4 linked regions of the Rattus norvegicus genome follow. The protein of the gene in region 3 purifies or fractionates together with the protein of the main gene of each other region. This does not show direct contact. Links are inferred from orthologs where the notes say so. Each region holds a gene or a part of one and is shown on either strand. Other genes may lie near its edges.

What was found.
Region 1: the proteins of Cttnbp2 (region 3) and Strn3 purify together in Homo sapiens (affinity purification with mass spectrometry; 4 studies listed by BioGRID and IntAct, with this or other methods). This does not show direct contact. The link is inferred for Rattus norvegicus from reciprocal best matches to the Homo sapiens genes CTTNBP2 and STRN3.
Region 2: the proteins of Cttnbp2 (region 3) and Stk26 purify together in Homo sapiens (affinity purification with mass spectrometry; 4 studies listed by BioGRID and IntAct, with this or other methods). This does not show direct contact. The link is inferred for Rattus norvegicus from reciprocal best matches to the Homo sapiens genes CTTNBP2 and STK26.
Region 4: the proteins of Cttnbp2 (region 3) and Strn purify together in Homo sapiens (affinity purification with mass spectrometry; 3 studies listed by BioGRID and IntAct, with this or other methods). This does not show direct contact. The link is inferred for Rattus norvegicus from reciprocal best matches to the Homo sapiens genes CTTNBP2 and STRN.

Annotation. Positions count from the first base shown.
Region 1 is NC_086024.1:74,804,948-74,812,355, forward strand, and holds part of Strn3 (striatin-3), read right to left. Parts: intron 5,484-7,408; coding exon 5,343-5,483; intron 1,280-5,342; coding exon 1,146-1,279; intron 1-1,145. UniProt on the Homo sapiens protein: Calmodulin-binding scaffolding protein which is the center of the striatin-interacting phosphatase and kinase (STRIPAK) complexes.
Region 2 is NC_086039.1:135,206,518-135,214,683, reverse strand, and holds the start of Stk26 (serine/threonine-protein kinase 26), read right to left. Parts: upstream 5,193-8,166; intron 5,073-5,192; coding exon of another isoform or gene 4,964-5,072; coding exon 4,922-4,963; intron 1-4,921. UniProt on the Homo sapiens protein: Serine/threonine-protein kinase that acts as a mediator of cell growth. Modulates apoptosis. In association with STK24 negatively regulates Golgi reorientation in polarized cell migration upon RHO activation.
Region 3 is NC_086022.1:47,838,707-47,846,114, forward strand, and holds part of Cttnbp2 (cortactin-binding protein 2), read right to left. Parts: intron 5,863-7,408; coding exon 4,236-5,862; intron 1-4,235. UniProt on the Homo sapiens protein: Regulates the dendritic spine distribution of CTTN/cortactin in hippocampal neurons, and thus controls dendritic spinogenesis and dendritic spine maintenance.
Region 4 is NC_086024.1:22,084,563-22,092,499, forward strand, and holds the start of Strn (striatin), read left to right. Parts: upstream 1-2,946; 5' UTR 2,947-2,990; coding exon 2,991-3,224; intron 3,225-7,937. UniProt on the Homo sapiens protein: Calmodulin-binding scaffolding protein which is the center of the striatin-interacting phosphatase and kinase (STRIPAK) complexes.

The sequences.
Region 1 (7,408 bases), on a different chromosome or scaffold from region 3:
AAATTGCCACTGCCATAATAATTTACATGAAAGCAGAACAGGAATATAAATTACCCAATACTCAAGGGTACAGTAAACACAGTAGTTTCCACTTACAAAATTGACCAGCACATAAAGAATTTCAAGGCAGAAAGTTAAGGAACTTTTGAAACAATAAACTAAAAACAAAAACGCTTTAAGAATGTTTTCCTATTTTTTTTGTTTGTTTGTTTGTTTCCTCTTAAGAAGAGTCTTCTGTCATCCACACTGGCCTTGAACGCACTATGTAGTTACCCTGAAATTACCATCCTCCTGATTCTCTCTCCCAAATTCAAGGATTACAGCATTGCCTACCCTGCACGGTTTATGTGGTGCTGGAGATCAAACCCAGGGATTTGGGCATGCTAGATAAGCACTGTTCCTAATTCTCGAGACTAATAAAGGTTAGTCTTTTTACCTTCATCTCGACATCAGAAAAGATAGGCTATAAAACCAGTTCTAAAAGCAGTTAAAAGTTTACTACAGTTTAGCTGAAAATGATTCAAAAATTAAGGCAGATAGCTTTAAAAAGTCATCCTAATGTAAGTATAATTTTTTTAAACGTTTAAAAAAGAAATTTGCTGAAAAACTAAAGTAAATGTAAAAAAATCTAAACAAATAGCTTTCAGTTGAATGTTTATGCTCAGAAAATATTTGACAAGCACCAGTCTAATATTAATCAAGTTCTTCCTATCTCCTTTTTGTAGCCCTTAAGTGAAGTTAAACATTCAGGAAATGATAAAAGCTAACTTTATGGTAACTGAAAAACAAAACTCAAAAACAAAACATGGCTTTTAAGACTTATCCTGACAGCAAAACCCTGATTTCTACAGCACCTATTTTGTTAATACCAAAATATGGCTTCAACTGAATTAATAAGAGTTAACAACTCAAGATGGATTTATCAACCAATATTTTGAAGTAGTAACTTCTACCTAATCCACCAAAATTTCTAAGATTTAAACACCACAAAAAAATTACAGCAAAAGTACGTTATTGCAAATCAACATATCAACACACTTATCTTTTCCATGCACCTTGACATTAATTCTCTTTTACAAATGATTCCAAAGAATAAGGAGCCTTCTATTAAATCAGTAAAAAATTAAAAATAAAACTGCACTTACATCATAACTATAGTCTGCATCATTTGTTACCGTCAAGTCTGCAAGGTCTCCAAGGCCCAGTACACTTAACAAAACATCATCAGAACCCATAATAAATGACTTGCCTCCTCCAGATGGAAACGTTATTGGTTCAGCTATAAAGAACAAAACCGCTTCTTAAATGCTGAAAAATCATACAGGACAATACAATATTGTGGGGAATTTAAGCACGAAACAGTTAAAAATTCAGCAATATTATGAATTCTACTTCCCATTTCCACACACAAAAAACCCTATTACTGAGTAGAAATAAACAAATGTATTCAAACTACAATGTAGTAGTTATCGTCCATAAATTGAACATAAACTGTATATATATTATCCCAAAGTGGAGGCTGAACACAAAAAATGTATCTATTTAGATCCCTCACAACTTTGGTAAACTGTAACTGGACAGTTTTGATTAAATAATCAGATTTCAGTCACTTCTGGTAAACAAATGTCTATCAACCTTGGGTCAGCTCATACAGTATTTTTTTTTAAGTCAATATGTGACTGCTAAATCGTCCTTTTAGTTTCTGAAGAAGTCCAAGAACACTGAGACATGACAGTTTGCAGACACTGCCATACCACTCATCAGTGCCAGTTACAGTGTAGAAAACAATGACTACTAATTTAAAGTGTCCTAAAGGGGACACCTGCTGACTTTAAAGCTCTTACTATGGCTTCACTTTAATGCCCTCTTTTATTTATTATGATGTTGCTAAAGTAAAAAAACAAAAAACAAAAACAAAAACAAAAACAAAAAAAACAAAACAAAACAATACAAAAAAAACCCCACTGACATTAAGTTTGGGTGAGAATGAAAGGAAAGCTTTACTTTGCTTAGTCACCTCATCTCGTTCTCTCGTGAATGGTTATACCTTCTATACCGATACCACAGTGTGAATTCAACTACCATCATTTGAATAACTAACTGTAACAAGACAATTCAAAGTATAAGCAGCAATTCTCAATATAATTAAGTATGTGCTTTGAAATCATAATAGAAACATTAAGGTGGCAGGAAAGAAATAATTATAAAATGAGTCAACCTAAACATTTAAAATTCAGGAACTTTAAAAAATACTTTTAAAAAACTCATGCTAATGAATTATGAAAAATGCCTACAAAATAGCATCTATTTAATAACTACAGGTAACAGGTGTAATGAAATATACTAATACTAATTTACTAATAATTCTGAAAATAATTCATTCAACTCATATATACTATTACCAAGGTAAATTTGTTAATTTAGAATTTTTAAGATTTTATTTGATAGTTTCCAGACTCAAGTGGTTCATTAAATAAAGGTATAATTCAGCAACTACCCTAATTTGAAAACACTTCAAATAATATACAGTATGTGTGTTAAGATGCTAAATATCTCATACATTTAAACCACTTGTCAGTTCCTGCAGTTGTTAAGCCATCATTCAATGGTTATACTTGAATATGAACAGCACGTAGCACTCATCTCTATCAATATTAGTACATAGTTACTGATAATGTAAGAAGCAGCTAAGAACGGTAAGATCAATAGTTTAAGAATTACATTAAAATCAGTAATCAAATTTTACTTTATAATTTTTACCAGTACAAAAACTTATTTAAGTTCATAATTTGTTTCTAAAATAATTTAAGACAGATGCTACACTTCCCTTCACTAACTATACAAGTATTCACTAACACAAACTTAAAAGCTCAATAAAAAACTTTACCATCACAAATCAACTCATTTTTTAATAAATTCTTTTTGTGGGAATCAAACACTGACCAGCTTCCAGGCACAAGAAGAAAAGTGGTTCAACAACTTTAGCTAGGTTATTTAACAAAAAAATATTATACTCATTTCTAAAATTAGTAATGTAAACTACATTTCTGCACCCTTCCTATATAGATATACATATTTGTTTATATCTAGTAAACGATACTACTTTTAATACTTATTTACGTCTCTATGCAAATAGATATTTTACATCATTATTTCTGCTCTATCACCCATCATTGCAGCATGAAGCAATCACACTAAATTCTTAATTTTTTGTTCTAATATCACTGCTGAAAGAATTAATGTCTATTTTACAAATCATTTTAAGTTCATGTATAATCACCTATAACAGTATATAGCATAACGATATAATCAACAAATTTAAATGAAATTATTAAATGAATATTTTATTGTACTTTTATTTTATTTATTTTTAGACAGGGTCGGTCTATACAGTCCTAGTCAACCTGGAGCTTGCTATATAGAACAGGACAGCTTCAAACTCACAGAGATCCTCCTGTCTCTGTGTTCTAAGCACTGGGACCTACGTTTTATTTTAATTATAGAAATTTTTATTAAGCAGAATTGTCTTTCATGAGAATCCTAGGGGTTATAAAATAGAATCTTTCAAAAAGGTCCTTTTTAAGAGTCCTGTAACTAGTTCTCCTTTTGACAGACAGCATGACCAAGAAGGAAACCTCTAGCTCTTGTCAAACTCCTCCTTTTTCTTGCAGTGACGTGTGTGTGTGTGTGTGTATGTGTGTGTGTGTGTGTGTGTGTGTATGTGTGTAACATTGTTAGACAAACACTCTGCCACTGAGATACATTCCCAGCCCCTTTTCTCCAATTTTATCAAACCTAAAGAACATGCAGGCCAATGACTGATGCCAGTCTTGCTGGTGACAATACAGAATGTAATTTGGTTTTCAATAGTTTAAAATGTTGTAATATTAGAGAACAGGGATTTGTTCTTTATAACTGAAATGTAACATGTATTTTTTTTTCCAAAGGCACCAAATTTTTTGTTGACAAAGTCACTAAAATAGGCTATGAGAATCACTCTTTTAAAATGAAGGTCAGTCCGGCCCCTTTACCCTCACTATGACAGAGGTTAGCAACTTATTTTCTTCTTAAAAACACACTCACACACTTGACAAACACACAGAGAGAGCCCTTCATGGCTTTTATACAGAATAAACCTACTGGCTTTTCCCTAAATTGGAATTAAAGGTTAAAAAGGGTTCATATCGTTAATCTGACTTTTCCTTAAACTGAAAAAAAAAAGGCAATCTAAAATATAAATTAAAAAAAAAACTTTAGTAAAAAACATTACACATTACTCAGAAAAAGAAAATCCCAAATCCAAACAATAAAAATGGTAGAGCTAGTATCTGTATTTTAGAAAAGAGAAAAAGAACATACTTTACTGGAAAGTACGGGGGGTGGGGGGGGAGAATCAAAGTTATTTTAATTTCCATTCTTTACTATTAGTTTTATTACATTATTTAAAAAAAATATTTCCTTAAAATTCTGTGAATTAAAAAAGGTAAGAAGTCATAAATCATGAAAAATACAAAATTGTTAAGCTTCACTGTAAGAAAATATGCCCAGAAAAACTTAGGGCAAAATGTATGTAAAAATTTGAAAAGAATGAACAAATCACCCTGCAAGCATAGGTAAAAATAAACCTACCTACATAAAATTACTAATATGTTATCATACATGTGTCATATATTAAAGTAATCTGGACTAAAACTGAGATTATTTAGAAGTATATCATCACCTAGAATTATACTATATCCATGTATCTTTAGGTAAAATCAGTTTCAAAACATTCTTAGGTAATATTTTTACTCCCTATGTACTTCTGGCTTAGATAAATTTTAGAAATCTTTTACTAGGTCATGAATACTTGCTACCAAGTTGAAAAATGATGTTTCTTATCCTAATATGATCCTAACAGTTACATCTACTTTTAGGACTAATATATAAGAAATACATTACACTTCCTAGCATTCCTATTAAGTGGTACTTATTAACAGCTGCTACATTTGAGCCACACTATGAAGAATTAGTTTTCTCCCCACCTGTATTTTTTAAAGTCTATTTATTAAATTGTTCTTTTCTTAATAGTAGATTGTAGGGTGAAGTTAGATTTAAGGAAGGTACTCGGAACTAACCTATGATGGAAACCACTACATCTAAAATGAAAACAAAAACAAATATAAAAAACTCGAAGACACATTTCATCCCTAAGCAATTATACCAAGAGCTTGCCCAACACCTCTAATGATCACGTGGATGATCTTTAGCATTCTAGAGAATAGCACGTTTGCAATATAAAGAGGTGGTTTGGAGTTAAGGAACTCAGCAATACAAACAAACACGATAGCTAAATGCTGTACCTTCCTCTGCTCTTGAACCTTCATGATCAGTCATTCTAGTAGAGGCTGACCTAGACTGATTAATGATTCCTGAAGGGATGTGGGGCAGCTCATCATCTCCCAGATCAGTTATCATGTCGCAGAGGTTTGTCCTGTTGACCCCTGTAAATTAACGTCAGCAGTAGAGGTTCATTTAATAGCTACCGCCTGACTTGCTGGCAGCCTTACTAAAGCAACTTACTAACAAAACAGGCTTTTAAGAAGTCCAAGCTATTAAATATCATCTTATACACAATTTTCTAAAATATTCTGAAAACATTTAAATATGTTGTACAGTCACAATTTTGTGGCTTTGTGGATACTGGATAGATCAGTAATAAGTAACACTGTATTTGAAACATATAGAGGGGGAGAGAAAAACTTCTTTCTATCACTCAACTTAAATTCTGTAAGTTCAGCCATAGAAAATGCTATTAAATCAATGGAAAAAGTTAGTATTTAAAGCTGAGATTTACTAGTCCATAAAACAAAACATGGGCCTTTCAATGTAAATCATTGTTTTTAAAAGTCAAAGAAATACATACAAAATGGCTTTTATGAGGGTGCAACAAACAATTAACTTTCCCTGTTGTTTTTATGAGTATTTTCCCACCATATTGGGGAATGTCCCCAATTGTGAATGAATGTCATTCACAATTTAACCCAACTTGTTAAAAGTTGTTTCTTAGAATTATTTACCTCAAATTTTCACTTTCCCAAATTAGAAACAGATTTTTCCTTGAGTTCTTTGAAATTCGTGTAATGACAGAAAAAGTCAGCACTGTCATAGGCCATAAATTTAAAAAATAATTTCAACTAAGGCCTAGATAACACAAAACTCAAAGAGTATATACATACCAGTTATGGTATACTCTTTTACTATGAATTACATAACTGAGTTACATAGTATACTTTTAAAATATGAGTTACACAAGATGAAACTTAGTTTTAACCATGTCAAAGAAAATTTAGGGGAAAAAAAGCATTTAAAATCAGCATAAAAGGAATGAAAATAAATTCAAGGTCAAACATCATGTCCTCATATTCATCAGTATGAACACTAATGAGCTCACTAAACAAGGCTGCTTTGTGATTAAAATCACCGGCAGGTATTTGAAGATCAGGTAGCCCACAGGAAATTCATTTATCTATGGATAAATAGATATCTATGGATAAATAGAATGAGAGGCAACTGGAGGCCAGTATAGAATGGAAATAAATGAAAATTTGCACATTATTTTATAGTAGTCCCTAACTAAAAATGGTTAAAAAAAAGTCAATTTTTTAATGTGTGCAATATATGATATCCTCTAAATTTTCCAAAAGAATTATAATGGAGAAACTGTGACTTGAGCATTTTTTCCTTGCCAGTGATGCAATCATAAATTCTCTAAACAAATGAAAAAAACAAAAGAAAAAGCAATGCTGACTGGATATCCAACAACCAGGTAATTCAATGTGAAAGAAAGAAAATCTTTCTCACACACAAGTCTTCTTTATAACTTTCTGACTTGTGACTACTGCAGTTAAAACTCTGCAATCAAATATTAATAATTCTACAACTTATAAAGAGGAAAAAAGTTATATTTTATAAAATAATTTTCCCTTAAATTTCCTTTAAATTTACTAGACTATGTTAGACTCAATTTTTTAATAATCTTCATGCCCATTTACTGTCTATCAAATCTGAATACCACCAATTAAATTATCATCTACTCTACTGCTTCCTCCATCAGCACTGCCAAGTACTTCGTTCTTCTCGAATAAAGACTCCTAAGATCATCCACTTAACCTTACACACGCTTCATGTGTTTTTCTATTCCATCCTTTACTTTGACACAAATCTCCTTAACTCTCCATATAATACAAATTATTCTGCATTCTGCTTTGATTGATTGAATCTGCCCTTTCCATCTCTCTCTCTCTCTCTCTCTCTCTCTTCCTCCTCCTCCCCCTCCTCCTCCCTCTCTCACTCTTTCTCCCACCCTCCTGCTTGCTCTCATGCAGGCAAGCGTGTGCATGCATACACACACGTTTGGCCTATACAA
Region 2 (8,166 bases), on a different chromosome or scaffold from region 3:
TGGATCAAACAGGATTTCTTGGTGGGAAGTATTTACACTACTATATCTATATCTATATAGAAACTATATAGGTTATATCTATAGAGAAACTGAGCATAGGGTTTTAGATCTGATTGGGGAGGTGGGGTAGTCAGGATTTGGTTTAATAAAAAAAATGGGTTATTAAGCTGAAGAGAGATGAGATGATATGGTGTTTGCAGTATGAACTGTCCACGTGAACTCCAAATATACTCCATAGAGGATACTTAATTCATCATAATAATCTCTTGTTGAGGCAAAGGAAATGTAGCTTTTACTTTCCCAATTATGTAGACAATTTGGACAAGGTCACTGAATAGATGAAAGGCAGAGTAAAAGCAGCACAGCGCAGTGCTCGCTGGCTCCCAAGTACCATGCAATTATAAGCTCTCATTTTCTATGGCTCAAGCAGTGGAAGCACATGATGGACCTCTTTTATTCAAGCACCATTTCAAGCCCTCCTTACCATCTAATTCACATGCTATATTCTGCCCTATTCCTATTTACTTTCCACAATAGGCCCCAGCCTGTAAGCCCTATTTTCAAGCCTCCAAACTACAACTACACCTCCTTCTCCAGTACACCAGTTTCTTGGGTTATTTTCTTCCAGCTATTATCGATATCATATTTAATGATTCAGCTTCAGCTGCTTAACAAAGGGGTCCTATGTTCAAGGCGATGCTTCCAATGTCTTGCTACTTAATGCAGCAAATCTGACAGTTAATAAAGAATTTGCCTTAGCTAATAACTCCCTCTTTAGCTTAGACTATTTTCTCATCTTCTCATGCATCTTCACTTACAGGCCATGTTTCCTATCCCACGAGGGCCTTTGCTTTCACATATTCTCACTGATATTATAGACCTCTCCCATCTTAATGGCTTTCCATCTTTTCTCTTTAAGTAAAGTGCTTGGTATACAGTACTTGCTTGGTCAACAATGAACGATTGAATAAAGTTCCAGTTTTAAATCTCCAGACTGTGTTGGACAATCTTAAGTTGTCAGCCCATTGCTCCCTGAAAATCATTTGCTTCCTGTCAGGTCTGGCCCTTCTGCATTACATTTTCTTCAGATGTAAGTGTTACCTCACTTGTCTTGCTGTTACTAGCAAATTATTAAATCAAGTGATGTCTTTTTCCTTATGGCACCCAAGGATATGGAAGGCAGCCTGTTAATCTGCATAGATCAAACTGTCTTAAATACTATACCTTTCCAGTACCTTCACTCATCCAATAAGGAATTTTCCTATGCAGGACTTTGTTTATTTTGTCCGTTATACAGAAAGGTTCAATGGCCATTTCAAAGGCTAAAATCCTTCCCTTGCATTTAAAGGCCTCCACTCTAGCTTTCCAAAGTTATTACTTATTATTTCTCTCATGGAATATTTCATAATCCCTTAAGTGGTTTTATTCTGTTTTCAAAGACTGTGTATATGTGTGTATGTGTGTATGTGTATGTGTGCTTAAACATGCAGGCAAGCCCTTGTCTATACATGTAAGGTTTCTTTATGTGGAAATACCTACCTCAAATCCTAACACTTTGACCTTCTAGAAACCTTCAACTCTGCTAGTCAGACACTCTTTTGATACTTACAGACGTAAGGTCACAGACTTGATAGTTGTTTAAGCACAGATCATAGATCTCTCTATTGGTCCTTCCTGGAACCTTTTACTAAGTTCACCAATGTCAGATAATATTTTTACTCCTTGCTAAAAGTCTTCAATAAAGTGTTTCTTAATACTAAAACTTCACTTCCACTGAGATCTCAAACAAGCATTGCTAAGCTGTACCACCCTTTTCACAGTTAAAGGTATAAGAGAGATAATTTTAGAATTCTTTTAAGCAAAAAATGTTTCTTTACTAGTACATACCATGTAAAGCATACGAAACACAATAACATTTTAAATTTGGTTGAACATCTAACTTTTTCTCTTACCTAAATGTTAGGAAAGATTGAAAATGACAAATATGTAAATATTTATTTTAAAACACTAATGTTAAGCTTTAAGGGAAATAAACTTTCAAATATTTTTAACTGACAACTTCAAAGTCAAAAACAGATTTTAAATCACTAAAGAGTAAAGATTTGGGTGGAAAGACAGTTTATTGGTTTATTACCTTGTTAAGGTTGTACTTTAAATGTGGTTCAAGAGAAAAGCTCCTTGAATGGAAAATCCCTTTCATTATAAACATGAAATATACACAAATTAAATACAAAAAAAATCATGTCCTCGACATTGGGTGTAGTAGGGCAAAAATGTTCAGTACAGCATTGAGAAATATCAACAATATATGTTTTGAGGAACTAATTTCACAAGGATGAGTTTGAATTGGACCAAGTCCTGGGGTTTCTTCCTTCACTGCAACTTTCTTTTACATTTTAAACTAGTGGCAACAAGAATGTCTTTGTTTGAAAGTAAGCAATGCTGAAGACTTGGGTGAGACAGCAGGTAGCTCTGTTTATGCACTGCATCTCTGCTCAGAGGGAGGAAAACATTGTGGAGAAAGTCATTTTCCCCTTTAATTTCTGGAAAACTCATTTTTTCCCATCAATCTTCATAACTCTCCAACATAAACAGTTAAAAATGTATGGGCCAGTCAATCACTTCACCGTGACTTGGGGAAACATTAATTTAAAGAACACATGGCAAAATCAAGTTTTCTTGCTAGTTAAACAACCTAAAAGTTGCTTGCTCCTAACTCTAACAAAACTCTAGGAAGCTATTATGATCTCAGAATATATTTTTACATTATAGTTTTTGGAAAAGGAAACAAACCTACTTTAGGCTCAAGGGTCACACTGCATGCTATAAATGTGTTTTAGGTCCCTGTATAATTTTAAAAATGGAAAAGTTGTGTTTTTTGTAAAGGTCACAGCAAGTGCTTAAGAACTACATCTAGAAATAGAAATGAAAATAATTGGAGAATGTGCTATTTCACTTAGAGGAAAAGTGGCAGAACAATAATCAATAATCTTTGCTAGGTGTGAGATGAGTACCCCTGTATCGCTAAGGCTTGCTTGACAAATGAACAACTTTGGGAAAGCATACGACGCAAGGCAAAGTTGATGATTCCAAATCTGTGATTCACACTTCAACCCACCTTAATTAAGATCTAAACCTCCAAGAGATAGCCAGCTCACATAATTAAACAAAGCAGCGAGCCATACGCCAATGCTGAACAGCGAGCAGTTCGCAAACCATCTCAATCAAATAAAGTCAGAACAAATTAAATAAAGACCAGAAACCACATAAATCAAATAAAGTCAGGGCAAATGAAATAAAGAGCAGAAACTCTTTTCTCCTGAGCACACAGAGTTCCCCAGAATCGCACAAAGTTGATGAAGGAGATGCACCAGTGTGGCTGCAGGCAGGCAGGCGCCTGCTCACAATGGAGAGAGAAGCATGGAGCCCTCAAGCAGCAACCATATGTAAACTTCGACTTCTCCACATAATAGAAAGCTGTGCACAAAGGGAAATGCTCACATGCTGTTCCAGATCAGAGCAAAAGTTCCTATTGCAAACTACTACTTGTCCAGATACAGGCAAAGCTAGCACTGAATGAATGGGGTGTGGGACAGAGTAGCTATGGAAAAGAGAGCCAGAGAATGAGAGTGCATGAGCAAAAAAACTTTGGGACCCTAGGAAAAACTTAAATGGGTTAATGCCATTAAAAGCCCAACTCTCCTTTTCACTGCTTTCCTTCCCCTTCTTGAGTCTCAACCCAGACCTGTCCTTAAACGCAGGATAGATGTACACATGGCCCCTTTGAGGAGAAAGGATATTTTAAAAATCACCTTTGTTATCATGAATAAAAATGAGACCAATTTCCAAGGCAAACGATGGAATCCATGCACGAGGCAGGAGGCTGAGACTCCAATCTACCACGTTTTGATTCCTAATAAAAGCATAGGCTATGCAGGGCTCTCGACATTATAATTATAACTTGAAATAATTCATTTGACTTAGCATATTTAGAATATCATAAGGAACCCATTTTTAGTGTTTTTAGCCTCTAATCTATTACTTATAAAGGGTTGTTTAGGTGACCATGGGGGGTACCCCACAAGTAAATGCTTTAAAATGTTAGAGTGGTTAAAAAAACGAGATGTGTAAAACATTTGTTGACATAACTTTTCTTTAATGAAATGATAATATAGTGGAAGGAGAACTGCATAGCCTTTGAGTAAGAAGTTGGGTCCCACACTTTTTCCTTTGCAATGAACAAAAGCTTAAATACCAACCACCTTAGCAGACAGACAAGGCGAAGGGCCTGAGCAGTCCTCACCTCAGAACAGGATGCCACATTCCTCATAGCACTGCCCACTGGGCTAGGTAGGGGAGTGACATAGAAGTTTGCTTGTAAATGGCACCGAAAGGGAAAAAGAAGTCATCTTGCTCTTCTCCCTTTGCACATAGGAAGCACCCAACTCAATGCCACCACCACTCCTGGTCTCGCTCCGCCCCAACTTCTGTGTGTACCGTGTGGGGCACTGCTTGGGTGTTTTAACCCACATAGTCCAAGATGCCTTCATCTCAACTAGGTTAAGTTCTGGGACTCCCCCACTCTGAGTCCTCAACTGTGCCACGATTAACAAGCCAACAAGTACAGGTGCCTAAGGTTCTGGCCTATTTTTGTACGTGCCCCCCCTTCCTCACCCCCGCGCGCCAACCCCAACCCCCATTTTCTGTTGCTTCTCGGTCACCCCAATCTCTCCCAAGCAAAACACCTTCTAGCCAGGACGCCAGAAAACACCTCGAGCTTCACTTAGGGGTCACCTGGTGAGAGATCCGGCCCTGCCTTCAGGTTTGCTCCGTGGCTGCCCCTGGTCCCCCGGTGCCCCGTGCCCAAAGCGGGGCTCTGGGGCAGTCACGTGGGCGGCAGGGAAGGCCTGGGCTTCCTCACCTGCATCCCGGGCACTTGAACAGCCACCGGTGAGTGGGCCATGGAGGCGGCTGCTACTTCGCGCTGCTTCTGCGGTGGTGGCTCCTGGGGCACAGACTGGCTCCTCCTACGGGGGTAGCTCTGCAGCTCTCCCAGGCTTCTCGATCGGGGCCTGGAGGGACGCAGAGAAGTGGAGTTAGTGGGCTGGTGCTTGCAGCCTCCACTCCCCCACTGCGCCCTCCTTGCGGGGAGGTGAGCGGTTCGCGGCGCTGCTCTCCCGGACTCAGTTTACCTCTCTGACGCTCGCCCGCCTAGCTTTCGGACAGTTGCGGTGCCGCTCCTCTTCCTGAATGCAGAGCTGTGCGTGCGGCAGTGGCTGGGACCTGGGCTCCAGTGATGCGGCTCTGCTGCGCCTCGCCGCTTTAGGAAGAGGAGGTGGAGGCGCCCCAGCAACCCGCCCGAACGCCTAGGCTGGGAGGCGGCCGGGGGCGGTTCCGCAGTTGGCCCTGCCTCCACCCCGCTGCCGGGCGGTGTCAGGGGAGCTGAGGCTTCAAGCTGCAAACCGGGTTGGCTAAAGTAGTCAGAGTTGGCGAAGCATGGGGCTCTCAGGGGTTGCGGAGAGCAACAGAAGGCCGGGATCGAAAAACCTGGAACATAACTGGTCCTGGAGAAAGAACAGAAGAGTTTGCGGGAGCGAGAGTGGGGTGGGGGATATGAGGGCGACCCAGATGAACGAACACGGCCACGTTGCAGACAGGCTTGGGAGGCTAGGGTGCTTGTAGCCGCCCAGAGGTCTGGAGTTGCAAAAGTTTGCTTGGCTCCCCCACCTGGCCAAGGGTGGGGCCACCAAGCCAGACACCTGCTCTTTCGTGCCTAAGTTACTTCTCTCTTGCAATTTTCAGCTTCCTTGCCCCTAGACAAACCTCAAGTTAGTTTAACCTGAGTCTGTTCTTACCTTAGGCTGTCAGTTGTGGAATGGCCTGGCTGAAATTTCTCACAATTTCTGCGCGTGTGAAAGAAACAAATTGGAAAAGGGATCATGTATCGGCAGAAAACTTAACAATGATTACAGACGCAAGGAGCATGAGACTAAATCTTTTGTAGTATAGATAGTTGAATTTAGCATACAACGCCTTGACTTCTGCAACTCCCTGCGTTCTTCCAATTTAAGTCCAACTCCAGGAGTGAGGCATACCCTTTCTCGAGGACCCAATAACACAACAGTGGCAGTGATAATACCAGTCACAGGAATCTCAGGGAAGCATCTATATGAACACACAGGGGCTAATGAGGTTACAGGACAAAATGCACGTTTAAAATGAGAACTCACCTTGAAGTTTGTTAGAAGCCTATGCAACCAAGGCACACTCAGGAAACATTATTTTTCTTTTATAATTTTTTTTCTCCAAGAAAAGTATCTGGTTATTATCAACATGATTATTATTAATAGATTTCTTTTTTGTTGTGACAGAGAGCCCAAAATTTATGCACTGTGTTTTGTAAAGAGTTATTGTGACAAGAGATCACTTGGGTCACACTTCTTTCTCCCCATTGAACAACTAGAGCAAAAGGTTCAGCCAAGTAAATATTTGACTCAAATATTGCAATTAAAAAGCAATGCATCTGAGACGTTCAGTCTGGGTCCCCCTGACACTTGCTACCTTCTATTATATGGAAGAAAGATATTAAATGATGGCATTGACTTTACCTTACTCACAGTCCCCCAAGTCTTGGCATTCTCTGTTCTTCCCAATGGTAGGCCCAGATCTAGTATCTATTTCTCACCAGCTCAAGTCACTGTATGTCCTAGCCTACCCAGACACATACCGTGCCACCAAAACTTTAATGTTCATAGAGACCTCAAGGGAGTTTGCTTGTTTGCTTGTTTACTTACTTACTTACTTATTTTGTTTGGTTGAGACATGGTCTTGCTATGTAGCCCTGCCTTGATTGGAACTCATTATGCAGAAAAAGCTGGCCTCAAACTCACAGAGATCTGTCTCCCTTTGCCTTCTGAATGTTGGGACTGAAGGCATGTGCCACCATGCTGGGCTGAAAGGATTTTTTTTTTAAGGAAAACTATTTTTTATTCTTATTCTGAAGATTTTGAACCTGTAAGTGTGGAGTGAACCCAAGACTTTGCACTGTGAACAAGGTCTGAGAGGATGAAGCAGATAGTGATTCTAAGGGTGGGTTTTTTTTTTTTTTTTGAGTTAGTACGATGTGAATCAAGCTCCATCATTAAAGACCCACCTCAAGCATGTCCACTGAAGGTTCTCAGACCCACCAGCCAATGTGCACCTGCCCTGTGCTCATTTTCAAAACTGGGCTGTGTGCATGTGGAAACATTTACAGGGTTGCTCTGTCTTTGTATTTTAGGAATTGTACGCCATTTATTTGCTCACTGAAGCCAGCCAGAGACCCAGCTTCTCTTCTATGAGAATTATTCTGGAAGAACGATATCTTTCTGAGGACCATGTTTGCTATTAGGGTTATTCTCAGAGTCTAGAATGTTCTGTGCCACAAAGTGGGTCCTCAATAAATATTTGTTGATAAGCAAATGCACTTCCTTGGTATTCTTTGATGATATTAGGTATATATTGGGGATATTATATTTTATTGTATTGTTGTCAGGTTAGACTCACAGGCACTGCTCTTGGTTAACCTTCAACATGGTCCCTTGTTTATGTTATTCAATTCACTTTTGGCCTGCTGTGTTCTTCCCAGTTGTAACTTCATAACTACCTAAGAGAGTGTTGTGTGGATTTAGTAAACAAATGAACTCTAAACAAGTGAAGAAATGACTTTCCTGACTTCATGCACATGCGCGCGCACACGTACACACACACACATACACACACACACACACACACACACACACAGAAAGAGAGAGAGAGAGAGAGAGAGAGAGAGAGAGAGAGAGAGAGAGAATGGTTGACTGTTTTAATACTAATAATACAGGTTGAGTGTCTCGCATCTGACTGCTTGAGAGAAGTGTTTCAGATTTCAGAGTTTTTCAAATATGGAGTTATTGATATGAACTCTTAAGAGCTGACACCCTGAACATGAAAATATAAAACTTTTGAACCTCAGGTTGACATTCAAAAATTTTCACACTTCAGAGCATTTTGGATTTGAAATTTACAGATTAGGGAAACTCAGCCTGTATAGTCCATTACCACAGGTAATTATGAATGTTTAGCAACTAGAGAAATTAAGACTATATGCAGAATTCATGAAGAAAATGAATTCCATGTTAGTATCCA
Region 3 (7,408 bases):
TCCATGAATACCAATGTGTACATACTAAAGTTTGCTCATCTTTTAGTTTAAACCACAGTTCTAGGCTTTGTAAGAGACAATACAAATTCACATTTCCAATTGTTTTATATGGGTTTATATGGAAATATTCAATTATGTGTATAATTTTCTGGAAGACCCCACTTGAGAGCAGTAAAAGGCTTTATTCAAAAATGTTATTAATCATAAGGTCATGAAGTGTTGTTGCTTTTCCAGTCAGATTCAAAGAAAGCAGTATCAGTTTCTTTGGAGGACTGAAAAAAAATGGTCTCTAAATCTTCACAAAAGAAAACGTTTTGAAAATATTGTAAACTTTAAGCTCTTAAATTTAAACAAATGTTATTTTTTTACTATAATTTCCAGTTTTCTCCCAATACAATTTATTTTAAGAACTCCTGTTACTTATATGTTGGAATTAAAAGAAAGACCTCACTAAACATTAGTATTCATCTGAAATTCTCAGCCATGAGAGAAATGGTAATATGTGATTAACTGGATTAGTTAAGGACAGAATAAACCCGAGTCCACACAGCTACTCTACAGGTGTTAGAAAGTCATTCGGCTACACGGCATTGTAGGCAAACGCTAGTAAAGGTGAGGATTTGCATAGCAGGCCACAAAACATGGGGACATGCAAGGGCAGAGGAAAAGGAGCTGAGAACAGCTTCTGGCACCAGCTTCAGAGGGTGGAGAGGGTTAAGGTCACAGCCCAGACCATTCTGATTTTGCGATTTAGCATTCAAGCCAATCATACACGAGTATACTTTAGAAAATATCTTTAAGGAAGGAAAAAAGTCTGAACCAAATGAAATGGAATTCATAAAATAAATAATAGTAATAAAATAAATAATATCAACAAGAAAAACAATCACAAAGAAGAAAGAGAGGAAGGAAGGAAGGAAGGAAGGAAGGAAGGAAGGAAGGAAGGAAGGAAGGGAAACAGAAAAATTTGCAAAGGTTTGGGGATTCAGTTGCCTGGAGTGATTCCTATTTTAACCTTCTTCATGTAACCATTGGAATATATCATATATAATATATAAATATATGTGTATATTATACATTATATATTATATATTCATTTGACAAATTGGTAAGAATTTCTAATTCATTTACAATTTAAAACACTATTTTAAGAGTTCATGATTTGTTATGAGGTCACCTCTGGTTAGCGTACTTTAGAACGCAACCCATTAAAATGAGACCCCTCTGCCACTCCGGCTTTTCACTGGGATTTCACCTCACTGTTACAGACAGAGGTGGCAGGGACACAGGGCATCTCAAGAGAAAGATCCCAGGTTCCAGGGCAAAGAGGAATAAAGAGTCTCCAACACGAGGATAAGTCAGAACATCCTTCAGTTGGGAAATAGCCTTAATTTTGGGTTCAAGAGTTTAAGGTGTAGATGACAAAGCTAATAGCTTACAAGTAATTCCTCCCCAGGATTATAACTACAAAAGGGCAGAAATGAGCTAAGTTTGCCCTTTGAAACTCAGCTCAATGCTTGCTCACATGATCAAAGAAATGGGAGCAAGGCATCTGGCAGGTACACTCGGTTCCTGGGCGTCATTCCTAGCAACCCCAGTGGTGCCAGGGGAAAGTTGATGACCTCCTATGGGCTTCTGAGCTGAAGAGGAACAAGCTCACTCAGGCACAGCCAGGTTAAGGAGCAGGATGCAGGGAGCTCGGGTGCTGCCAAGAAGAACGGGTGCTGGTGTGGCAAAGGCTGCAGTGTAGCTCAGTAGTGGAGCACTCACCTAGCACACATCAGGCTGTGGATGTGATCCCCACCAAAATAATCCTTAAAAAAGGAGAACTGGAACCAACTAAATGCAATGTGGGTAAAATGCTAACTAATTTGGGAGGCTAAGGGTGGCCTTCACCCGCAATTGAGTTCTGTAATTATACAAGCAGGCTTCATTCTAACATTTGTGCCATCAGAGCACATAAGGAGGCACCGACTGAACACCTGCTAAGGGACTTAGACCTCCGGTGCCACCCTTCTGCCCTGAAGATGCACACTTTATAATCAATCAGACAGAAGCCTGCTATTCCATCAAAGGGCATCACCCTACAGTTCTGGGAACACTATGGCCAAACTAGAAGGTTGAAAATCGGAAAACAAGGAACTGACATTACATATCTTCAATGGCTGTCGCTTCATCAAAATCTCATTCAACTCCCCTTGGCACCTCAGATATGAGTAAAAGGTTTTTTGTTTGTTTGTTTGTTTTGCTTTGTTTTTTTTTAAGAGTCCTGGCTTCTTTTATCCAGAATCCCACTGAATACAAAACAGCTGTTTGGGCAAATATTTAACAGATTAGAAGTTAGTCATCTTTTAAAACTTAACTTCTCCCGCAGTCACACAAGCTTGTTTTAAAGCTTCTCTGTTGACTACTAGAGGGTGTGTGCAGCTGGACTCAGACTTATGGTGCCTACCGAGGCACCAGCTGGCAGAGCCTCAAGGTATCAAAAAACAGATAGCTTTATACTTAAAAACAAAACCAGCTGATGACATTCATTTGCTCTGGGAAATGTTGCCTACACACAGTCTATACAGTTACATCAGAGCACAGTCACGGCTCCAAATGACTCTGGAGCCAATGCTTTCTAACAGTCTACAGATCTTAGGGTCCATGTTGGATTGTTCTGAACGGTACCAAATGCCCCTCTCCTTAGGGTAGGTTTAACTATTAGGAAAGCCAACATAATTCCAAGCAATATCAAGCCATATCACACTCAATACAGTCAGAGAAAAAACCCCTATGGAACCTCAAATGCCTATAACATCACAAAATGACAATAAATTCTAAAGCAAACTCTCAAAAGTGCTATAAGCAACAGTACCAGTCAGGCGTGGATTAGCCATGCGGCCGCATGTTCAGTGCCATGCCTTGATATGTTATGCTCTCTGAACCTCCCTCTAGCCACCTTCCCTCTGAGCACTATAAACTCCAACTTAAGGCAGAGAATACTTGCTCATGGTGAAAAAGATCATCGAAACCACAGTTATAGACAATGTGGCCTCATCTCTAATGCCGATCTATACCTCCAAAGTGCGTGATGTTTCTGGATTCTCAATTTTGCCCTCAAAAATAAAAACTTCCCCAACACTGCAGTTCAATGGAAACCGCTTGAATTAGAGGCATGCAGTCGGGCAATCTGAAGCACTTAGCTCCTTCCCTGGCGGCCAGCTTTAGAACTGCAGTCTGTGCTACATGCTTTAAGTTTTAAATGTGATGCTACTGAAATTTCCCTTTCGATTTGAAATCCCTGCTCTTTTAGAGCCAATAGGATCTACCAATCCCTGATGTCTGATGAGGGCAGCACAAACTACTCCAGAACTTTAGGTCTGAGCATGAATTTACTTTTGCCTTGATAATGAAAAAGCAATGCTTTCATAACCACACACAACAACAATATCTAGTCCTTTGAGGGACCTCCTAGACTGAGCAACTTCATAAGGCACTCATGCAATGTGAATTGTAATGTCCCATGTGGTGTGGAAGCCATCTGGGCTTGTGTGTTGGGAGACAATACTTATCAAATGAGGTACATGTCATTCAAAATGAGCTAAGCTTTAACTGAGATTTATAAATATTCATGGTCTTTTGTTGAGGGTAAGAAAGGGACATTCATACCAAACTGATATGAACCTTCAGAATCTATTAATTACAGAATAAACCCCCATTAACCTGCTAATCCAGAGTTATACAAACAGTGACTTGGAAGGGTTTTTCTTAGGCCATCCTAAAAGGAGCAAATTGAAAGCACACTGAGGATGATCCATTAATATTGAGGTCTTGCGAGATAAATATTTAATAGGAAGGGATACTCTTTTCTGCCCTGGAAATGTTTCAGTCTCTCTAAATTAATGGTCTTCATGGACTTCTAACCACTATTTTCAGGTTATTTTCAAGAAAAGCACTTAGAATGATGAAACCACAATTCATAGAGCCAGATGATTCACCATCACCCGAGAGCCTTAAAGAAAATTACAAAATAATTTTGAAAATGAGAGGGGAGGAGGAGGGGGGGGAAGAGAGAGAGAGAGAGAGAGAGAGAGAGAGAGAGAGAGAGAGAGAGAGAGAGAGAATATGAATATGAGGAAGTGGACAACCGGAGTATTAAAAATGTCTCAAGACAATATGAAAGAAATTAAGACAGGTCATAGAATAGGCCACATTCTTTACAAAAGGGTATAAGACTTTAATCCCTTTACCTGATGCTGTTACCAAGAGGCTGTCTGAGGCACCGGGGCTACGGGATGAGGCACTAACAGGGTTTATGGAAGAGCGAAAGGCAACGGTGGTGGGAATGACAAGGGAGCTGTCTGTACATGCGGGTTGGTTCAGTCCAGGGGTTTCAGCAGGCCAGGCACCCACCTGAGACGTGGCCAGGGCCGAAACGGGACAGCCTGCAGATGCCACAGTTAAATCTATGGATGGTTTTGGTGGCAGCTGAGGGGAGGATGACTTAGGGACGTTCTCCTCATTTACTACCTTGGTCCCTTGTGGCAATGTAGAGGGAGGTGAAGCCACAATTTTGTTATCAACTTTGGCCCCTGCATTGGAGGCCCTCAGTTGAGGGTGTGGTGGAGAAGGAGTTTGGGAGAGCCCTGGCTTTTTGGGAGGGATAGGAGGAGGATTTCCTCTGTCAACTCGTGCTGCCCCTGGAGTCTTTAAACCGGTTCGACCAACTGGAGGGCAGGTGCCAGCATCGCCTCCTGGAGATGCTCCCAGCCTTGAAGAAGCACCTGCTTGAGGGCTGGTAAATCTGGACAGCGCTTGGGTCACAGTATTCCGAGCTAGCTGCTTGGCTACTAGGTTGTCACGACTCGTAGGAGAAACATCTCTGGAGGGAGGACTTTGAGTGTTATTTCCATTCTGGTCTGGGTCATTTGCATTGCCCTGAAATCTAAATCTAGCTGCTTGGATGCGTGGGTTGAGACCTGGATGAGTGTTGGCACACGGTGAATGTAAACTGTGCACAGGAGGAGCTTGTGAATGGTTCTGGGGTGCTGCACCTAGTGTCTGAGCAGCAGCAGGGGCAGTTCCACTAGGAGTTGAGGGTGTGCTGTTTGATAGGTCAGGGGCATTGCCTGCACTTGGTCCGTTTTCCTCAATTCTACTTGCACTTGACGGTAGGGCAGTAGGTGGAGAGGGACCCAAGTCACTGTGGGAAGCTTGTCTATCAATACCTGGTCTAATCAGCAGGGCACTGGGGCCCACATTCCCTTTTGTGTTTGTGGAAACTAGGGGGCTCCCTGTGGAAGGTTTTATGGGTACAGACAAAGGCAATTTCTTCACAGGGTCAGTGCTTTCTGTCACTACATCTGTCTGGCAAGCAACAGACCTTGTCACAGGCCCTTCTGTTGCCACAGATATGGAAGCCAGTCGCTTATCTTTTGTCTTCCGGGGGAGGGAGAGTCCGGGCTTCCCATCGTTGCCTTTCTTCATTTGCTCCATCATTTTCTTCATCTTGTCTATCTCCTCTTTGAGGTCGGTGGTGTGTGCTTCTTCTCGGGTCAGCTTGGCCCGCAGCTGCTCCCGTTCCGTATCAAACTCAAAGAGCTGTTTCTCCAGCTGAGCTTCCATTCCAGCGCTTCTCTGTTTCTCAGCGGAGAGCTGGTCTTCTAACTCACTTGTCTTTTTCTTTTCCTCCTCCAATTTCACCATGACTTCCTCCAGCTTCTGAGCTTCCTCTACGACTTTGCCTGAGAGCTGCTTGCACTCCTTCACCAGCATCAGGACCACGTGCTTGTTCTTGCCCCTCTCTTCCTCCAGGTGGGCAGCCAGCTTCTTGTGCTCCTGTTCAAGGGCCTGAAGCTGGAGCTTTTCCATCTCCAACTGGAAGATATTCAAAGGGAAGCCTGAATTAATAGATAGAATATTCTTTGTATCATAGAAGAGTTTTTTATTAATTTCTGAACAATGCCATGATTTGGGTTAGCAAAAGTGTCACAGTTTATGAATTTTTTTAAAAGGTGATATTTAAAGACCCATTAAAATGAGAAAATTGACAAAGGGTTTTCTGCAAAATATCTACATTGAGAAAAAAGGGAATTGTTTTAATCTATTAAATTTAACCACAGTGTAGGAGAATGGTAATAGGATGTTTCAAGTCACAGCACAAAGTTCAAAAAGAACTGTTTTGATGAGTACAGATCAGTGAAAGAATTGGTGCTATTTAATAAAGGTTCAATGGCTGCGAATTATTAACTGATCATTGAGACACACAATCAGGATTTAATTCCCAAGCCCCTTAGTTGCTGATGATATTATATAGCTAAATTACTTAACAGCTTTGAGCGCCTTCTGATGGGCTGGAAGTCATATGAAATAACACGTAAAGAGTTTGAAGAATAAAAGTATAATGTGCTAACAGATTATCTTATTAGATCTACAGTCAAAGTTGGTGAACCTAAAGCCTCACTTTGTTGTTTACTTGGAAGCTGCTTTTGATTTAGCTACCTTGGCCCACCTTGGTGCTTCGTGAACTTAACCCTACCTCTTGCTTCAGGGTCTTCAAACTTGTCTTGCCTGCCTAGAATTTCTTCACATGCCTTAAGGAGGCCCTCCTTCACAAAGAATCCTATACACTTCACAGAAGTATCCAGCGAGCAAACCCTCCAGCATCCCTCACCCATCAAAATGCCTAGGTGTGGGGTTGTACCTGCTTTTCTTTGCCCAAAAGGTCCTGGCTGTTCCTGAAGCCATGGGACCTAACTTGGTGCTGCTCAGAAAACAAACTACTTTACCAAACGATACACACAGAGACTGAGCTTTTATAAGCCTTTGTCTCCAGACATAAAAGGGAGAGCACTGAACCCAGGGCTGCATTCATGATAGTAGTGCTCTACCAGTGAGCAACCTCCCAGACCTGAGGTAAGATTCTGTCATATTCACGAAAGCATCCAGCAGCACAAGAGTGTGGCTCCTCTTTTTCCTTCTGGCTTCTGTTCCCTTGTCACTTTTACAGGGAGGCCTGCTCTGCTGATTATCTTTACGTCAACTTGACACAAGCCAGAGTCCTCTGGGAAGAGGGAACCAGAATTGAGAACAGAACCCCACCAGACTGGCCCGTGGCCTCTGGGGCATTTTCTTGATACTTGATTGATGTTGGAGGATCCAGCTTGATGCGGGCAGTGCCACCCCTGGGCTCGTGGCACTGAGCAAGACATGAGGAGCAAGTCAGTAAGCAGCACCCTCCATCAATCTCTGCATCCATCTCTACCTCCAGGTTCCTGCCTCGTGTTCCTGGCACTGACCTCTTTTGATGATGGACCGTGATATGAACATGTAGGCAACATAAAGGCTTTCCTTTCCAGGCTGCTTTTTCGTCATGATGTTTCATCTCAGCAGGATAAACCCCAACTATGGCTCCTGCCTTTGC
Region 4 (7,937 bases), on a different chromosome or scaffold from region 3:
ACACACACACACACACACACACACACACACACCGCCCTTCACCCCACACACCAGTTTTAGAATCTAACTCATAGAGTAGGAAAATATGGGATCCAGGGGCCTTATTAAAGCAGAAGAACCTTAAAACTTTTTAAAATGTACTGATTTCTGTTAAACTACCAACAAAATATTACCACACACGGATCTTCTAAAGGAAGTTTAATAATCCCATTTTAGTATGACTCTTAGTATTTTTGACTTGTTGGATATTATTTCCATAATATGTACGTCAATACTATTCTGATTGCTCTCAAAAGCAAAGAAAGTATGGAATAACAAATTTGAATATGAATGAAAAGAATTCTCCAGTACGTATCCGTAGTAGTCCAGGATGCCTATACTTTTGGGAAGTGTGCAAGCGTAGTATGTGTATGTGTGTGTGCGTGCATGAAATCCATGAGTATTCCTTCACTGCTCCCCAGCTTTTTTGAATTTGTTTGTTTGTTTGCTTGTTTGTAAATAGTCAGGAATCCCTCACTGAACCTAGAGTTCACCTGTTTGGCCAGATTGGCCAGTCACTTATCTCCATGGGTTCACCTGCCTCTGCACCCTGTCATCTCCCAGTGCTGAGTTACAGGTCATTGCCTGCCTTTGTGGTTTATGTGAGTGCTGTGGGTCCACACTCAGTTTCTCACGCTTACATGGCAAGCGCCTTGTTATCTATACATTTCATTATATTCGATAGTCTTTGTTTGTGAATCAGTTTAAGGCAGTGATCTTGTCTGACATGTCTTCTATTAGAGGAAAAAAATTGATTTTGAACATCTGAGATTATAAAGTTACTTAAATCCCTCAGATGACAAAGTTCCATTCTTAGCCAGGTAGTGGTGGCACATTTCTTTAATCACAGCACTTGGGAGACAAAGGCCAGTGGATCTCAATTGGAGGCCAGCCTGGTCTACAGAGCAAGTGCCAAGACAGCCAGGACTACACAGAGAAACCCCGTCTCAAAAATTCAAGAAACAAAAACAGAGGAAGAAAGGATAGGAAAAAAAGAAAGAAAAAATTTCTCTTCATGTTTCCGTGGCTCTGATAGATAAAAGAGAGTAATCAACCTGTTTTTAATTTACTAATTAAAATTTAAATTAGGTGGATAGAGGAATAGATAAGTAAATAATTTTGGGGGTTGGGGAGCAGCCCTGGCTGTCCTAGAACTCACTCACTCTGTACACTAGGCTGGCCTTGAGCTCTGAAATCTGCTTCTCTCTGCTTGCCTCTGTCTCTGGGGTGTGCCACCATGTCTGGCTCAACTTTTTTTAAGGTCACTGAGCTAACAGGCAGGTAATCTGGGTGTAGTTTTGGCAGTCATCGGTCACTCAAGGACTCATTGAGGACAGCCTCAGTCTCTTGAGCTGTGAATGAGAGACTCAGGCAAAGAACGTTTAGAGCCAAACAAATTTATGACACGAGGAAATTGGCCAGGCCTGGATCAACTTTTTATGATAATAAAGAATGGATTCAGAGAGCAGAAACATTCAGTAACTGAGTGAAGAGGGCTTTGCCATGGCTATTTGCAACCAGAGCAGATACAATGTGTTTCCTGTCCTTTTCACATGTTGCCATGGGAAGAAGGGGAGCAGAGAGGACAGAGACAGGATGCCCTTCCTTTGCAAGTCACTCACCAGCTTATATCTTTTTTTTTTCATGTCCATCAGATCAAAACAAAATTACAATTTTTTGTTACAATGACAACTAAATAATTGCTTAATTTGGGTTTTCATTTCTTAAATGTTCTTCAGGCACCTTCCTTTCTCGGGTTGGTGTAGTGTAAATTTATAGTGATAATTTTATCAGGGAGCTCAGAGAGGGAAAACACTGCCAAGTCACTTAGAAGGAAAGGATTCTGGTGTGCCTTTGGTGTAAAGATCAGTTGCCCAAGAAATTGGGAAAGCAACAAGTGGGAAGGGAAGGTTCCAGGGTATTCAGGAGTGCAGTGGAGCAAAAAGGGACTTTGTTCCTTCCGAGTGTAGCCCTTAGGGCTCTGTGACTCTACATGTATGTCAATCTCCTTTTGATGACAAGAACTATGACATCTATCTTTATATTCCTGGCACGGAATATAACTGACAATAAGATACTTGTCCAAGCGAATTGAGTGAAAACTGCCGCAAAGATGGGGAAAATGAGATTGAACAGGCAGCACTTGTTACTGGAGATCTAAAACTTTTGCAGAATTTACCGGCAGGATTACTACAGAGAAAGGGGCTTTTATACCAATACTTCAGACTAAGTGTTAAACTAGAAATTAGAAGAAGCCCCCCACGGCAAATGTTGAACTTTTGCAGAAAGATAGAGGTCCAGAGTGCCTAAGGGAAAACTGGTCTGTTAACAAGCACTGAGCCCCTCAGGAGATGAAAGGCAGGCTCGGTGACAACCCTTAGTCCAGGGGTGTTGAGGCTTTGATGAACCCCCAAATGGGCGACGAAGGGGCAGACGACCGGATGATTTGCCCAGAGCCTATTTCCTAACAAAGCGACCAGGAAGCCCTAAACTAAGTGCAGCTGGGGCTGGTACTTGGCTTGATAACTTCCGCGTGTGAGTATGCAACAGGGAGCGCCGCCCGCGAACTTCCGCATGAAAGGGGCCAGCCGCGGCGCGACCCTAGGGGCATCGGCTGGCTACACCTCTGAGGAGGAAACCCGCGCAGCCCCGAGGGGAGGGCGTGGCAAGGAAAGGGCGTGGCTTCAGTCCCGCCTCCGAGAGACGCAGGCCTACAGGCAAGCAGGGTTCGCCACGCCCCAGGACTACATTTCCCGGCAAGCCCCGCGGGCCGCAGTTGACCCACTTCCCGGCCCGTCACGGGCTCGCCCGGCCCCCGCGCCCGGGCGGCTGCTCCCTGCTGACTGGGGTGTGGGCGGGGAGCGGCGGAGGGAGGAGGCAGAGCTGGCCGCCGCAGTTTGCCGCCGCTGCTGGGCGCCTAGGCAGAGCTCCCCGGGGTTCGTGCGGCCGCCATGGACGAGCAGGCGGGGCCCGGCGTCTTCTTCAGCAACAACCATCCGGGAGCTGGCGGTGCTAAGGGGCTCGGGCCTCTGGCGGAGGCTGCAGCGGCGGGAGACGGAGCGGCTGCGGCGGGGGCGGCCCGAGCTCAGTACAGCCTCCCGGGGATCTTGCACTTCCTGCAGCACGAATGGGCCCGCTTCGAGGTGGAGAGAGCCCAGTGGGAGGTGGAGCGGGCGGAGTTGCAGGTAAAGACCCTCCCGGCCTGGCGGTCTTCATCCCGCCTCTTCTCTCTCTTCTGCCCCGCCCCGGACCCTTCACCCCCTCCCCCAGTCCGCTTGCGTCCCCTCCCCCTTGCCTGGCTCCCATCACTTCCAGAATCTCATCCCCCTTCCTCCAGTCACCTTTGACTTTTCTGCTCCCACTTCCTTGAGCCTGTTTTCCCACTCCTTCTGATCCATTTACCCTCCCGGCGCCTTTTTGTCGGCTGTTTCCCACTCTCAACTCCCGTGCTTGCTTGTTGTTTCCACTGTTTGCCATGCCACATCTTGGGTTGCCTGTCCCTTTCGGTTTACTGATTGGATTGACAGTAGTTTTGAGAGACTCCGAGCAAATCATCCTGGCTCCACATGACGCACCCTAGGTCTAGAGACATTCCCCGCAAAAGGTTTTGGCAGTTGACTACTACTCACTCACTCTGCAAGAAAGGTGACCAGAGACAGCAACATAAGTTGTATCAGCGAGGCCTTGGCTTTCCGCGAGAAACTGACGTAGGGCTAGGGTGTTACAAGCAGTATCAGCTTTATGTCTGAAAGTGTTTCCCTTTCTGCCCTTTCACCCCATCCCGCATTTGGTTTGGATTCATAGGTTTCAATGCAGGGACTGCAATCTGACTGAAGGGAGCCAGAAAATGGGCAGAGGTGGGACACCTTTTTACAGAATCTAAAACTTCCCAAGAGTTGGTTTTTATGGTCAGTGCTTTGCAAGCCTGACATGTACTTTAAAGGGAACTGAAGGGGCCTCAGTGCTACATCGCCCCCTTTCATAACCTGCAAGGTAAAGAAAGTATGCCTATCTGAGAGGAGCTGTTGTGGGCCAGAGAAGGATGAAAGGTTGACACTTCACTGGCCATTCTGAGTTGGTAAGTAGGTTTTCTCTGACTGTTTATAAAACTTCCAACACACACACACACACACACACACACACACACACACATACACACACACACACTAATTTCCAGAGGAACTTCGAGAGCTGTGAATTGTTGTGCCTCTCTGTTTTATGGGCTAAGCCTATATGCTTATGAAATTTAAGTACAGTTTTAGTTTGTGAAGCACTTGAAGTGTGTTCCTTTTTTTGGTCCCTTTTTTTTTTTTTGGCACAAAAAAAATTAAAGAGAAAGAAACATGCTGAAGAGACTCAATTGCAGATGCATCCTGCTTTGGTGAGGCGCATGTGGCCACAGAAGGAGCAAACAGGCAAGGTTATAGTAAATAGGTCTCTGATAAAGGCTATGCTTGCGTCCAGCTCTGTGACCTTGAGGATATTCTGTGACCTCTCTGGGCTTCAGTTTCATCCTTTACTTATTCAGCACATGGCTCAGGCCTGGTTGAATGCCTGCCTTGTGTATTCAGACTCCAGCCAACGAAACTGGAAAAGCTGCTGCCCCCTTCATGGAGATTCTGTTTTAGGCAGAAGGCGAACAGTCAGTGGATAAAGCTGTGTGAAATAGCCTATAGTTGGGCTCTTCGAGGGAAAGTAAGAATATAGGAGTATAGTCACTTCTTGGGAGGTGGGTATGGGCAATCGAATGAAGTAAGGTAGTGGCCTGTATGGTTTCTTCTGTTTCTGCAGTTATGTGGTTTGTGTTCTTTGCTGACTTTTTAATACCTACTGTTAGGTATAAGTCTGTTTGATATTTGTAAGTCTTGTAGTGATGGCTGATCTCGTACCCAACCAAGTGACTGAGAGTACACAAAAAGTCTGGTGCTTTGACATTTACCTTCCCTGGCAATGCATTCTGCAGATGAACTTATGGAGGGGTTCAGGTCAAGGGCCAACTCTCACACATGGTTGCTGGAAATGATTTTTGTTTGTTTCTGCTTAAATTTTAGCATATTTTATAGTTTAGGGAATGTAGAACAAATGACACCTATCTGGTAAAAACGAGCAATAAGACAATGTTTGCCTTCCTGTGTGTAGGTATGGGGATTTACGGACTAGCCTATGTTTGCTCATTCTCTGAGGCTTCAATTTTAAAGTTAATTAGTCTTTAATTTTTACACACACATCCAGATTAACTTCAGGTAAGATTCCTGTTGTTGCTTATGTTAAGAACACTACTTAATTTTTTTTTTAAATAGCGTCTTTTGATTTATGTTCCAGAAAGTTTTTTTAAAAAAATCATAGAATTTTTTTTATAAATAAAATAAATATTATTATCACAGGGTTTGCAATAATACATGGTCTTTGTACCATTCGCAGAATTACAATTTTTAAAAATCATGTACTTTTAGGTCAACATTAAATTTGATTTTCCCTTTCTGTACCATTGGGCTTTTCCTGGCGGGGGGGGGGGGGGACAAACAGTATAAAGTAAAAGAGTTAAATGAGTTGCAATGACACATACCTGTGTCCTTTTAATTTTTAAAACTCTTCCGAAGCCATTAACACCAAAGTCAACAGAAGTGCCTTTAAGGTTCAGTCTCATTTGTCCCTACAGGAACCTGTCAGTCCTGCTCCTTCAAGTTGTCAGGGGTGAGTTGTGAAAGGCAGCCCAAGTTCTCATCTGTCTGGGCAGCCTGTGTCACTTCCTCCCTCCTGCAGATGCTGGGAAGGAGAAAGGAGTCATATCAATCAAAACATTTTTTTTTTTTAATTTCCTTTTCCTCCTCTCCCATGTTAGTTAATGGATCATCCCCCCACCAACCATGAGAATTGATGATTCACAAGAGAACAGAGATTATCAAGGTATTACTGAGTTTTGTGTTTGAAAAAGGAATTGAAAGAATAATATTTGAAAGGTTTTTTTTTTTTTTCACGTATGAGACATGGTGCCCGAGACCCCAAAGAACCTTGCATCCTAATCAGTATGGGGGAGATTGACTTTCTTAGAACAGCCTGAGAAGATTCAGCAGTAAATGTGGAAAGTCGGGAAGTAATCACAACCCTAGGCTTAGTCATTTGAAAGTTACCTTCAGAAAAGCAAACAGGTAATAGAGTGACCGTAGATTTTGATGATATACAGGTGGAAGGAGGAGGCTGTGGTTCTGTCTACGTGGGAGTGGTAGAATTGTTTAGATCAACTAGTAGAGGGCATGTGGTATAGAGGCTCTGGGCTGGAGTGTTTATGAATCTAGATCTTGGCACCAATGATTTGTATCTCATTTAGCAAATATTTTTCAAGTATATACTTCATGCCAGGTCCTGTTTTAGGCATGGAGAAGATATAAGATCTTATCTCGTGAAATTTAAATGATAGGGTCAGATAAACAGTGAATACCTGCTACATTGCAAAGTCTTACATGCTCTGCTAAAGTAAAGGGATAGGAAGAAGTCATCATAGATTGAGAGTTAGCGAGCAGAATCCTTCCAAGGCCGTACCTGAGAGTTAAAACAGCCAAGAGAAGGGAGGGTGCTTAGAATATCACGGGGACAACAATGGGGCAAGTGTGGCCAGAGTGGAGGAGGAGTGGAAGAAATGATGCCGAGGAAGATACTGATCCTGCTTCCTGTAAAGACTTTGAATTTTGGCTGCATCTGGTGGCACAGGCCTGTAATCTCTGCTACTTGGCAGACATAGGGTGAGAGACATCACAAGTTGAAGGCTGGTCTGGGTTACAGAAGGAATTAAAGGGTAGCGTGGACTCTTAGTAGGTCTAGCTTCAAATGCAAAGTGAAAAGAAGACTGAGACCAGAGCTCCGAGGTAGAGGGTTTGCTCAGAGTATGCAGGGCTCTATGTCCAACCCCCAGTACCAAGAAAATAACCACCGCTGGGCTTCACTTCTGCAGATTGGGCAACCATTGGAATGTATTGAAAAAAGGAGCATCTTTAAAACGAACCCTTAGCAGGAGTTGAGAATATGCCCCAGGAGGTGGGAAAGAAGAAGCAGGAAGGGTGTTTAGGAGTCTGTATAAATTAATTAAGGCCTGAGTTGAGAGGTAGTGGTGGGTTTTTTTGCATGTACAGTTTGTTTATGTATCATTAAAACATAGTAGGTTCTGAACACAGGAAGACAGCTCACTAGTCAGTGTGCCACGCGCGCATGGGTAGGATGTGAGTGTGAGGAAAAGGGGACTGAAACAATTCAGCACTTCAGTCCTGCATACCTTCGAAGGATAGCTGAGATCCACTGAGCACATAAATGGAAGATGTAGGAACTTAAAAACGATTGCGTTTCGTTAATTACAGCAGTTATTTTACGTATCACAAAATGCAACAATGACAGACCTGTTAATAAATCTATACTCTAAGCTCACTGTTATATTTCATGCCTATAAAACATATGCCAAAAATATGACCTGTCAGAGCCTTAAGTTACCTTGTGAGAATTAAGTGAGATCGTTTTTAAGTCTCCAGTAGGTGCCTGGTCTGTAAATCAAGTGAATGGTAGCAACACACGAGGTCACTTTTTCTCCTGTTTATTGCCTCCAAGAAAATGCCAATCTTCAATCTTTTTTTTTTTTTTTGGTTCTTTTTTTCGGAGCTGGGGACCGAACCCAGGGCCTTGCGCTTCCTAGGCAAGCGCTCTACCACTGAGCTAAATCCCCAACCCCGCCAATCTTCAATCTTAAACTCACCTCAGACCAGACCTCGATGGCGCCTTCTCGAGCCCATGCAGTCGGACATTCAGGGCCTGGTGCTGGCATTAAAGTCGTTTAACAGGAATGGATGGCGGCAGCTAAACTTTAGGAATCCAATCTCACCTTTGCATTACATCTTGGATAACAGATTGTGGAT